Linked DNA regions of Drosophila melanogaster. The protein of the gene in region 1 purifies or fractionates together with the protein of each later gene. This does not show direct contact. Each region holds a gene or a part of one and is shown in the gene's direction. Other genes may lie near its edges. The genes, in order: Hsp67Bc and stv.

What was found.
Region 2: the proteins of Hsp67Bc (region 1) and stv purify together in Drosophila melanogaster (affinity purification with western blotting; one study listed by BioGRID). This does not show direct contact.

Annotation. Positions count from the first base shown.
Region 1 is NT_037436.4:9,370,963-9,374,686, reverse strand, and holds Hsp67Bc (heat shock gene 67Bc), read left to right. Parts: upstream 1-2,189; 5' UTR 2,190-2,369; coding exon 2,370-2,969; 3' UTR 2,970-3,176; downstream 3,177-3,724. Other genes in the region: Hsp22 (heat shock protein 22), read right to left, coding at 1-436; CG4456 (uncharacterized protein), read right to left, coding at 1,243-1,297, 1,366-1,525, 1,592-1,712; Fdx1 (ferredoxin 1), read left to right, coding at 3,669-3,724.
Region 2 is NT_037436.4:13,475,562-13,483,689, forward strand, and holds stv (starvin), read left to right. Parts: upstream 1-1,979; 5' UTR 1,980-2,666; coding exon 2,667-2,921; intron 2,922-4,882; exon of another isoform or gene 4,883-5,041; intron 5,042-5,202; exon of another isoform or gene 5,203-5,353; intron 5,354-5,471; coding exon of another isoform or gene 5,472-5,474; coding exon 5,475-6,808; intron 6,809-6,873; coding exon 6,874-7,192; 3' UTR 7,193-7,954; downstream 7,955-8,128.

The DNA of each region.
Region 1 (3,724 bases):
GTGTCTCCTGCACGCCTGGAGGATTGGGCACACTGATGGTCAGGACGCCGTCGCTGCTCAGCGTTGAGGTCACCTTGTCCGCCTCGTATCCTTCCGGCAGGACGAAGCGGCGGAGGAAGTGCCTGGAGCTATAGCCACCTTGTTCGGCCTCCTGCTGCTCTGATTTTCCCTCCACCAGGACAACGCTCTCGTCCAGCACCTTGACCTTTAGCTCGCTGTAGTCCTTGACGTCCAGGGTGAGTTTGTAGCCATCCTTGTTGACGGTGGCCGGCGGAGCGAACTCCTGCTCCTGCCAGCGGGCAATCTGCTGCCAGTTCCTCGGTAGCGCCACACTCCAAACGGGCGGCTCGTGGAAGAAGGCGTGAAAGGGCGAGGAGAGGCGTGGCATCCGTGCCATCTCCTCGGCCATGCGCCAAAACATCGGTAAGGAACGCATTGTAGTTAATAAGGTAACTTGGTTTTTCCAACAAAAGCTTCTTATGCAAATTCGAATAATTTGATGAAATTCCGTCCAATTGTTGTCTTTGAAATACTTCTTGGCTTTTTTTTAAATTTTTCCTCTATGTTTCGAAGATAATCTTGTTGTCTGAAGTTTCAATCCTATGAAATTTCTATTTAGCTGGCGAAATTTTAATTTAGTTGACTTTCTTCGAGTTGTTAGCAGTTGGTTTGGTTTTTTTGAACTGAGAGCGCAGTGTCCAACCGGTGGCTATTTATACTCTTGGCAGAGAGGAAATCCATATAATCTAGAAAATACCGGCACTCTCTCGAATTTTCTTCGCCCTTTGCTGATGCAATTTTCCACTTTGCCTGAAATCGGGCAATGGCATTTAGTTAGGGGTTGTTCACTGTTCTTTAGCGAACTCCGTGGAAGTTTCTGGGGCTCTCTGGGTGTCCAAATATTACTTTATTTACCTTTTATTTTAGCATTTAGCGAAGTTCTCTCTCGCTGTTGCGCCTTGGGGAAGGTCAGTTTCCATACGCAGAGAGACAGATTGAGAGAGCTCCATTAGAGAGTGGGAGAGAGAAAGTTTTGTGGGAGTGCACAGCTTTCTGAGTGCGAGTGTATACGTGTGTGTATTGATAAGCTTGCCATGGGTGTAGTCAAGAACTTGAGATATATGAAAAATACAGCTTAATATTAACAAATAATTAAAGTTTTCTGTTTTTTTTAGCTATTAATAATTAATTAATTAATTAATATTAATCTTCATTTATTCAGAAATATAGCGACGTTTATCGTCAAAGTCCCTCCTTTTGAGCCCATTCATTCCAGGAGCCTTTGTAGATCACCACACTAAAATGAGCATACATATATGTATCCGATATAAACTATTGCAACTATAATACAATTTTAAAACTCACTTGCTGTATCCCTGACTTTTGGCAATTTTCTCTGCTTCCAAGACTCGATTTCCCGACCGGCAGGTGAATATGATTGGCGACTGCTTCTCCGGCTTCGATCTTCCGTACTTGTTTTTAAAAGCAGATCCATCCAGATTTAGAGCCTTGTCCAGTTCATCCACTAAGTAAATAAATAGTAATAAAACACATAGTAATAAAGCAAATACTAGGGAAAGTAGTTTATTACAGGGTATATTGATGCTGGCTGGAATGAAGCCCGTCTGCTGGAGCTCTTCCTTCCGTCGAACGTCGATAAGATACACATCCGGATGGTTGGGCACATCCTTAACCTGTTCGTACGTGGCCATTGTAGTTATGGGGCGGAGCACGAATTTCAACCGGTTCGCCAGCTGAATAACAACTGACTTGCCAGCTGGGCGCAGATGATCCATTTATGAGGTTCAAGATTAAAGATTCGGGTATGTACATATGTATGTGCGTACTTGCTTATCGCATTTTGATTATCGTGGTGTCGTCTTGTTTGTCCAGCTGACACTGGAGATTGCGCCTCTCATCTGTATCCGATTTCACTTTGAATTTGAAATTAAAATCTTATGGTATGATCTCCAATACAGAGCTTGCTATCTGCACTCATTTTATACATACATACATACCTTATGGCGGATCACATATAACAGTTTACAGTCTACGAAAGCTTGGCCCCCAGAAGGTTCCCAGTTGTCTCCCTAGAATCAACGAAACAACGAGTTGCTGCTCCAGAAAAGCTCTGTGGCAATGGGCAAAGCTCTTCCGTCTCTATAAAAGGGCGCAGACAAACCGTTAAACTCCACATTCGAGTCGGAAAAGTCAAGGTGAATTGTGCGCCAAACTGCAGCTGAGATTGTGGATTCCACCACCCGCTGGCAAATCAACCCCTTGGATACTTTTTGAAAGGAAAACAGGTCGTCGGTTCAACGAACCTCCTTCCGCCAGATACACAAAGAAGTTAAGCAAAGAAAAGTAAAATGCCAGATATTCCCTTTGTCTTGAATTTGGACTCCCCGGACTCCATGTACTACGGCCACGATATGTTCCCGAATCGCATGTACAGGCGATTGCATTCGCGGCAGCATCATGATCTTGATTTGCACACCCTGGGTCTGATTGCCCGGATGGGTGCACATGCCCATCACCTGGTGGCCAATAAAAGGAACGGAGAGCTGGCTGCATTGAGCCGCGGTGGAGCCTCAAATAAGCAGGGCAATTTCGAGGTCCATCTGGATGTGGGACTCTTTCAGCCAGGTGAACTGACCGTCAAACTGGTCAACGAGTGCATTGTGGTCGAGGGAAAACACGAGGAGCGCGAGGACGATCATGGACATGTATCCCGGCATTTTGTTCGCCGCTATCCGCTGCCCAAGGAGTTCGATTCGGATGCCATTGTTTCCACTTTGTCGGAGGATGGAGTTCTCAATATCACGGTTCCACCATTAGTTTCCAAGGAGGAGCTCAAGGAGCGCATCATACCCATTAAGCATGTGGGTCCATCGGATCTCTTCCAGAATGGAAACGGTCATAAGGAGGCCGGTCCGGCAGCTTCTGCTTCAGAGCCAGAAGCCAAGTGAAGAGCCCCCTCCTAAAGATTGCAGCCTAAGCAGCCAAGTGATTTCCCAAGACTCTCGTTTATCGTTGCACCAAAAAAAAAGTCAAGAAAATATCGCACAAATCGTATTATATTTATTAATTTATTATTAGCTACATTTTAAACAGTCCAATCAAATTTTAAGACTAATCGAAATCCAGTATTAATAAAGGAATATGAATGTCTCAGTAATCAAAAGACTTTTACTAATATTTAAGAGCTTAATTCATATCAAAAAGCACGAAATCCAATTTTGGGTACAATATTAACTTTCCTTTGTTCGATTAGACAGGTATTAAAAGCTGTGCATATTAAAAATAGGTCCCCGGATGTCAATCCTACTTAAAAAAGCTTTGGTTAGCCTTTTCCCAGGTGCGATTGAGTGAACTTTTGAACTTTGAAATGAAAGCCCGCCATAAGTGTAATTATCGATAGCTTTTAGTCATCTTTCCAAAACTATCTATCGAAGTAACAGTTTTTAACAAGTGGTAAGTCAACGATAAATTTAATAAAAGAAACTAACATTTAATTACACAAAGTATATATATTATTTTTAAAGTTATTTAGCAGATGGAGTACATTATAAACTAATTTATTTTGTTTGGGATTATAATCTGAATAATAAAAACCCGTGACATATTGCATGTTGCCCATCTCCAGCTGGCACTGTAACCTCAAAAAAATGTTTTGTTTACTTTTGCGCCGCTCTGCAGTTCATAATTCCTGCAAATTAATCAG
Region 2 (8,128 bases), 4.1 Mb from region 1:
ATATACAATTGCTTTTGATTGACTCATTCAATGCGATTTGTTTTGACGGCTTACGTTTCATTTATCAGGCCATAAAAGGAGCAGATCAAAATTCAAAAGAATTATGTGTGAGATACTCTATTTACCCATAAGCTGCAATCTTAAAAATTTGATGCTTTATTGGTAAATTGATACAATAACTTCACGAGACTGATTTATTTATCTTGACCCGTTTCAGAAAAAAGATATATTTACATTTGAAATACGAGTTCCGAGAAAAACGTCTGAAATGCATAAATGCCTGGCATTGCATTTCGCTCGTGTATCTACATGGCAAATTATAAAAACAAAAATCGCATGTATATATATAATCAGATATAAACGTATACAATTCACTTCTATATCTATACAGAGATGTGCAATATTTAATTATGAATTATTTCCATTTTATATGCCCTGGCGACGCAGTGGTTCGCCCAAACAACGAGAAAGTATTTGGAAAATAAATCTAATGGATAAAGATAGGTGGGCGTGCCGCCGCCGGCCGTCTGATTATATACATTCATACAGACGAGCATGCATATTCTCACAGATCTACAATTGAGGTTAATATACTAATAATGAAACAATTGAGAAACGTTTAAAGAAATCCTATCAGCGAAATGGATACGGAAATGATACAGAATAATTGTAATTATACCAATCGTGCCCCAGCAAAAATATATTTTTAACGATACTTTAATAAAAAAAATATTCTTGGCTAAAGCTTCAAGCAACCGATGATTCAATAAGTTATTTAAGTTATTTGACCTATATTCTGACCAACTTTGTTCTCAAATTAAATTGAATTAAAATTGATTTTTAAGTTTTTATAATTTTGTGATGGTCTCGGAAAACCCATTTTATCCAACCCTATTATGTTGACCAGAGCTGTACGCGTGGGTCACTTCGTGATTCAAAAGAAAATGCTTATGGCGCTGGTTGCTTAGGTGGAGTAAACATTTGGTCCAAACAACTGGCGGTTATCAGCTGATCGTTTTGCAATAACAGTCGACTTGCGAAGACATTCTGTCGCTACTGCACATTGTACATTTGTTTATGGCGAAAACTGAAAAGGTATCAAGTGCGGGGGAGCTGTGGCAACAGATCGTTAGTCATTGATCGATTGATTGGCCGCTCAACAAGACTCCGTCAGTGGGCGATGACAACTGTTTACGCTGCTGATTTTGCCTTCTTTTTGCCTTCGTGTTTGCCTTACTCGTTGCTGCTCTTTGGCGGTTGTGACGCAGTGGTTGTATGTAGGCGGCCCGAAGGCACTGAGATAAAAGAAGATTAATTGAATACTTTTGGTTAAAAATGGCATAATGGACCCGACGGTAATGGTAAGAGAAATACAGATTTTGATTGTCTAAATTAAGCATATTATAACTGATATTATAACTGATGAGCACAACAGTTAGTTTCTGCGTAGGAGTTTGATATTTATATTTTTCCCAATTTTATTCAAGAATTTATAAACCGTTTTTTATATCGCGAAATGGTCATATTCGATAGTTACTACCAACTAGAGTCATTTATCGTGCCAAATTTCCCGCAGTGTGGCTTACGGTTACAGATTTGAATTTTAGAAGCCATGCGACTGCCGAGGAATGCGTTTTAGAGAGCCGCTCTCTTGGCCAACTTTCTATTTATAAGTCTGATGTCTGATCGGTGCACGGAGAGAGAGAGAGTGGGGAGAGCGAGCTGGGGAGAGCGGATCGAGAGAACGGTATCCGTATCCGTAAGATAGTATTAAACATTTACCAATTAAGGTCTGAAACCGCCGGAGAAAAGCCAGGTAGAAGCCAAGCAAAGCTTACCGCGAGAGAAAGATAGAGGGAGGCCGAACGGAGAGCGGATGAGAATCGAGCGGGCGAGAGAGAGGGAGAGAGAGCGCCACAGTGGGGCTGTTGGCAAAGGCAAATTATACGGTAATGGTTAGAAGCAAATGGCGATGGCGCTCAGTCGACGAGCAACTTTGGCAGCGTGAGGACGCCCGTGTGGATGCGTGGCCCCGTAAAAACAACAACAAACAACCGAGTGGCAATGTGCAAAAATAAAAAATCTATATATATTTTAAATTGAATATAGAAATCCGAAAACCCACACTCGCACAAACACTAGCGCAGGGCCAGAGAGCGCGAGCGGAAATACTTAAAAAGCTGAAAAAAGTGGAAGTAAAAAAGTGGCCGTATCGGTGTGCGGCAGCTAGAAAGTGTGGCCAAAAGTGACATCACACTCCGGTCGTTTAGCAAAAAAGCAGCAGCAACAGCAGCAGCAGCAGCACCAACAGCAGCAGCAGGAGCTAAAGCATCAGGAACATACGAGAAGCCCCAATCGAAATCGAGCGGTATTCGCACGCGTCGTCGCTCAAGGTGAGCCCGCGCCCGCACCCCTCCATTAAAAGCCCCCGCCATCCTCGTGCACACCAGCCCGCGTCCAAAAATTAATCTCAACAACTGGCACGACAAGTAGTCGCCGACGAAAAGTCACAGCCAAGTATCAACAAAAGGAAATAAATTAAAAATTGTCGCTACGCAGCGAAACGTCGACGGATTCGATAGCGTTTAGGCCAGCGGTACGAGCGGTACGGATACGGATACGATTGCGATTACGGTTACGGTCTTTTCCTGGCCAGCGAATCATCCATGAAGCCCACTGTGATGGCGGCCAATCAGGCGCAAAGCAATCCCGCCACCGCCGCCGGTAATAATGTCTCACCCGGCGGTCCCGGTGTCAATATACCCGTAAACCGGGAGTACGTGAGTGGCGGCTACGGATCGCCACAGCAGTCGGCACAGTTCCACACTCCCCAAAACGCTTACGGATCGCCCAGGCAGCAGCAGCAGCACTTCCAGCAGCACCAGCAGGTTCCTCCAAATCAGCAGCAGCAACATTTTCAGGTGAGTGGCCCCCAGCGCTTGTCTGTCGAGGGGGGGAGGGGGGCAGGCGGAGAGGGTGGCAGACGAGCGGCAGCGGCGAGAGATCCCAAGGTTGGCGCCTGGCAAGGTCGAACCCCCACCCTCCAGATCTCCCCCGCCCCCAAAAAGCCTCGATCGCATAGCTGGGACATATTCGTATGAGTGTCATGGTTTTTGTTGTTCGCTAGCCGTGTGGCAATTTAAGTACAGTGGGGATTCTAGACGCGGAAACAGTTGGTTTGGAATAATTACAGTGGGTATTGTAGCATGATCTATGTTCAACTTCTACTCAGAAATAGAATAGGAGCTGACTGTGATAACTAAATCGAAATGAAGAGTGATTTAAATATGATAGTCTTGTCTTTAGTTAGTCTGCATCTACTACTACTTTTGTTTTAATTCAACAAAATGTACTTCACAGATACTTATAGGATGGCCAGATTTTTCTAAATACCTTGGGCATTTTCCAAATTACTATTAATGACCGACGAGCTTAACTCTTTGTTTGCGAAATATTCTTGGGTAGGCGATTAAGTTTTATTTATTTTACTGTGCTATGACACAGCGGTTTTTCCATTTGTTTCGCTTTTCGGACTGAATCCTTGGCAATTTCGCATTGCCTTTTAGCGCTATGTAAACTCTCTAAATCGCAATAAGAGTGCGGAACAATGAAAAAGTCAGTGTGGTTGCGTAAAAGCCTCTTCTACTCACCCCTCCACAAAGTGGGTTGCGAGGGAAAATCCAACCCCCTGCAAGTGTGTGTCAAGTGTGTGTGCACACTCTGTTGACCTACTGGGCATAAGCTTGCAGTATCTGCTGGGGGGATGGCCAAGTTTCTGGGCTGATGTCGTGTCAAGCGCTCGTCTAGTGGCCAACGCTGCGTATGATTAATGCCGCAACGCGTGCGGAATTTTACCAGAGACAAGTAATGTACAGCTGTTTCTTTGCGGCCTAATCTAATGGCCAGCAATCCAAATCTATCACGACCAAATCGTAGAAAATATTTGAAAATTTCTAGAAGAAAACACACAAGCTAATGACGCGTTGCTCTGCTGCTAATGCTCTCGTTCTTTCTATTTGGGCGCTGAGAATTGGTCGAATCGAAATAACGCTCTATACTATTGGCCCGCTCTTGATTCTTTAACAAAGTCTGCTGTGCGTGTCTGTGTCTTCCACTGTAGGTGGGCACACCGTACAGTAAACACACAATGGCACTCCATATGTGCGCATATCGGTGGAAGCATGCCAGTTGTCTAATGGGAAGCGTGGGTGGATTTTGGTTGCTCAACATCAACTTGGCCAACGCGGGGGCCTCGGCAATGCGTTGGTGACGTTGACTATATAAAAACGTCATCACCAACTTAACGTACAGTGGGTACGTGCTAAGGTGAACTTTGGACTTTAAACAGATAAAGGTGCCATGATAGCGAGAAGTTTAAGAACTTCTTGTAACCGCAGAAAGGCGTTTTTAAACATATATCTGTTTTACAAAAGGTTTCCCATTTAAAAAAAGCCTTATAAAACCTTAAAAAAATACAAATTTGTATACATACTCGTATATACGACAATTTCTTCAAGTGCGCTTATGTAAGAAAGCCAGTAAATTATCATTAATAATTGAAGGGTATTGTAAAACAATACTAATTGTTGAAGTAAACACACTTATCTTGTCCCTACCGTTCAATTCAGAAAATGTGATACAGTAAAGCCGAATCTTTTATTTCACTGTACTTCCACAAGTCACTTCGGGTAATTGAGTTGAACAGCAGAGAGAGCGTCCTTTTAGGAGAGACTCAAAATCGGTCGTCGAGCCGAACCGAGAACACTCGACTGTCTCAGAAACTACGAGAAGTGGCCAGAATCAGCCAGCGGATTCGAGAGTGGGCGCCATTCGCTTTAAAAGGCCTTCTCGGCCGACGAGTCGCCTCATTCGCACGTAAACAATCGGACGCAGTGCATCACGTCACCAAGCGGAAAAGCATTCAAAAGCTAAAAAGACATTCAGGCTATAGCTAAATACTCGTAAATACACTTGTAGCGAAATAATTGACGAGCAGTGAGCACAGCTCATTGATAAAGTTAACAAATTGAGCAGGCAAAAGGTAAGGTTCCGACATCGACATCGACATCGAGATCCATCCGCTCCCCAACAGCTGTTCATTCAGTGCCAATTGACATCACTTGTTTGCCCACACTCGTACCCAATCTATATGGTTCTGACTCACCCTGTTATTTATAAACAATTCGCCCACCGAGTCGAACAATTTGCACTCCTCTATTGCTACACAGAACAAATACATAGTTGATGTGAAACAGCGATTATTTTATTTAAAATACGATTTTTAACCGGATAAAAGCACTTTTACTTTCAAACCAATATTTGCAACTTAATAAACATGATTTAAATTATAAAAGTAATAACTATTAGAATGTGGTTGCTACCAAAAGAATACCTGCATATTAGAGCTTCTTAGCTAGAATCATTCCGAATTCATTATAATTTAATTATTTATAATTACTCTCTGTTGATAGCAGCCGACCTTTGGATTCGAACCGAACATGGACATGGACAACATGTTCCCGCGCTCGCACCTGGGCAGGATGCACGATCCCTTCGCCGGCTTCGGCGACTCACGTAAGCGGAGCAGTTTGCACGGTCCCAGTGGTCAAGTCCATGCTGATGATGACTTTCCATCCTATTTCGACGATCCAGACTTTGGTTTCCCCCGCTTCTCAACGATGGGCCGCCGAGGTCGAATGGCCGGTGGGGCCAACACTCACATGGACCACGATGATGACTTCTTTAATCGGCTGCCCTCGGAGTTCCGCCAGTATATCCCAGATGGTTTCGGAGGCAGACGTGGTACCGGAGCTGCTCCTGCACCCGGACAAGTTCCACAGCAGCAACAGCCGCAGCCACAGCCGCAGTACACCCAACAGCAACCCCAGACGCACTTCCAGTTCGGTGTGCCGCCCCAGCAACAGCCAGTCTATGCCGGACCAACCCAGCAGCAGGTGCCGCAGACGCCTTCAAAGCGCCTTTGCGATGCTGCCATCCAGACGGAGGATCCTGCCGGTCGCTCGGAGGTTGATTGTGCCCCGCCGACTAACTTGAACCAGCACGGACTGCGAAACACTGTCGACATGGGCGTGAAGAGTGTCGCCGAGCAGGATCAGGGACTGCGATCCCACTCCGCCCCTCCGCCAGAGCAGCAGCAGCAGAATCTGCAGTATCACCAGCAGCAGCAACAGCATCAGCAACCGGGAGTACATAGCCAACCGTTTGGCACCCAGACAAGTCCGCCCGTTCAGGGTCAGCAGTTCAAGACCTACTATGCGCCGCACCAGCAGACGCATCCCCAGCAAAAGCAGCAGACCCCGCCGCCAGCTCCACAGACCCCGGGTGGCACCTATGTGCGCACCATTCCCATCTTTGTTGAGGGTCGCTCCGAGCCCATCATCAATGCCCACAAGGAGATACCGAACCAGAACGCTCCGCCCAGTGCTCAGGCCCAAGCTCAGGCACAGGCATATGCGCAGGCGCAGCCACAGGCACACGCTGCTCCACAGCAGCACAACAGACCGACGCCACTAAACACCCAGGCGCAACCTGAGCAGCAGGTGCCAGTTGAGGGAGCCGCTGGATTGCCGCCACAGACACCACATACCCTCAACTCTATTAACAAAATCCAGGACATTCAGCGCGACGTACTGGAGCTCATGGGCAAGGTGGAGCAGTTCAAGGGAACGCGCGAGGAGAAGGAGTACGCCTACCTGGACGAGATGCTGACCCGCAACCTGCTTAAGCTAGACACCATCGACACAAACGGCAAGGACAGCATTCGTCTGGCCCGAAAGGAGGCTATCAAGTAAGTGACCAGAGTCACCAGAGCTCATTATCGAATTTAATTAATTCAATGATTGTTCCTTGCAGATGCATTCAGGCTTCGATAAATGTGCTGGAGGCCAAGGCCGAGGAGAATGCCAGAGCGGCATCAGGAGCAGCACCTGCACCTAGCGCAACAGCTCCAGCGGTTGACACAGGTGCAGTTGCTGCCTCGGAAGCGGCCGGACAAAATGCGGAGCCAGTGACTCCACAGCCACAGGATGCTACAAAGATGCAGGAACCCATCCCTCTACCAGCACCACCAAATGCTGCTGCCGTCGAGGGCGCAGCTGCTTCGGAAGCCACCGCCGCGGAGGCGACACAGTCCGCCGTTCAGTCGGAGACAACCACAACGACGTCGGAATGATGAACACAGCGCCTCTACAAGGCGACCGTTTCGAAGCAGCTACGCAAATTAACCAAATTTAAGTGACAACAGGCGGAGGATAGAGAAGAGTTCCGATCCCGACTCATCAACGGACAGCGACAGACTTGATTTTACTGAATTCAAAGTAAATGTGAAAGTGAATTTGATGTGTAATGTGAATGTGAATAGGAGGAGCTGGCGACGAATCTTTGCTAGTATTTCGTAGAAGCACAACCGTACTATCTAAACATATGCAAATCTCACGTGTCAACCACTCAACACCCACTCATCCCCACACATCATAACACACACACACACACACACACACCACACAGCGTAGATTATAGGCTAGTAAGAGAATTAATATTGAGAAAATGTGCCTGCATAGAATTCGGAAGTTAACAGAGCGAAAACGATTTGGCAACAAGGGTTGCTTCACTTAAAAGAGCTGATTATGTTTAAGCGATAGATGATCACCATGAGGATATTTTTGAACCTGAGTCCAGTTTTTATACGTAAATTGTACCGATGAGCAGCAACAGGGGCAGCAAGCCGCCGTATGATCTCATACAAATCTACAGCAGACGCGCTTGCTTGCCACAGGCCAACTCATCCATCCAATCACGCCGAGTGCACCACTCACGGCTTTGCTGCAGGTGAATTGTTAAACGAACGTAAACTCTTATAGAAAAAAAAAAAAAACTATGATAACTATTTATGCTACTAATTAATGCGAAAATAAATGTAGATATTGTTGACCATAAAACTGTGTTATCCTTCGGTTGCACAATTATCAAAGTTTATTATCGAAAAGGTTATAAATCTCGATCAATAATACATATACAAAAGAACCCTGGATCGGGAATGGAGCGGGCCTTAAATACTGACTAAGTGGTTACTTTGTATGTATCCTAAGAACATTTTAAAAGGACGCAA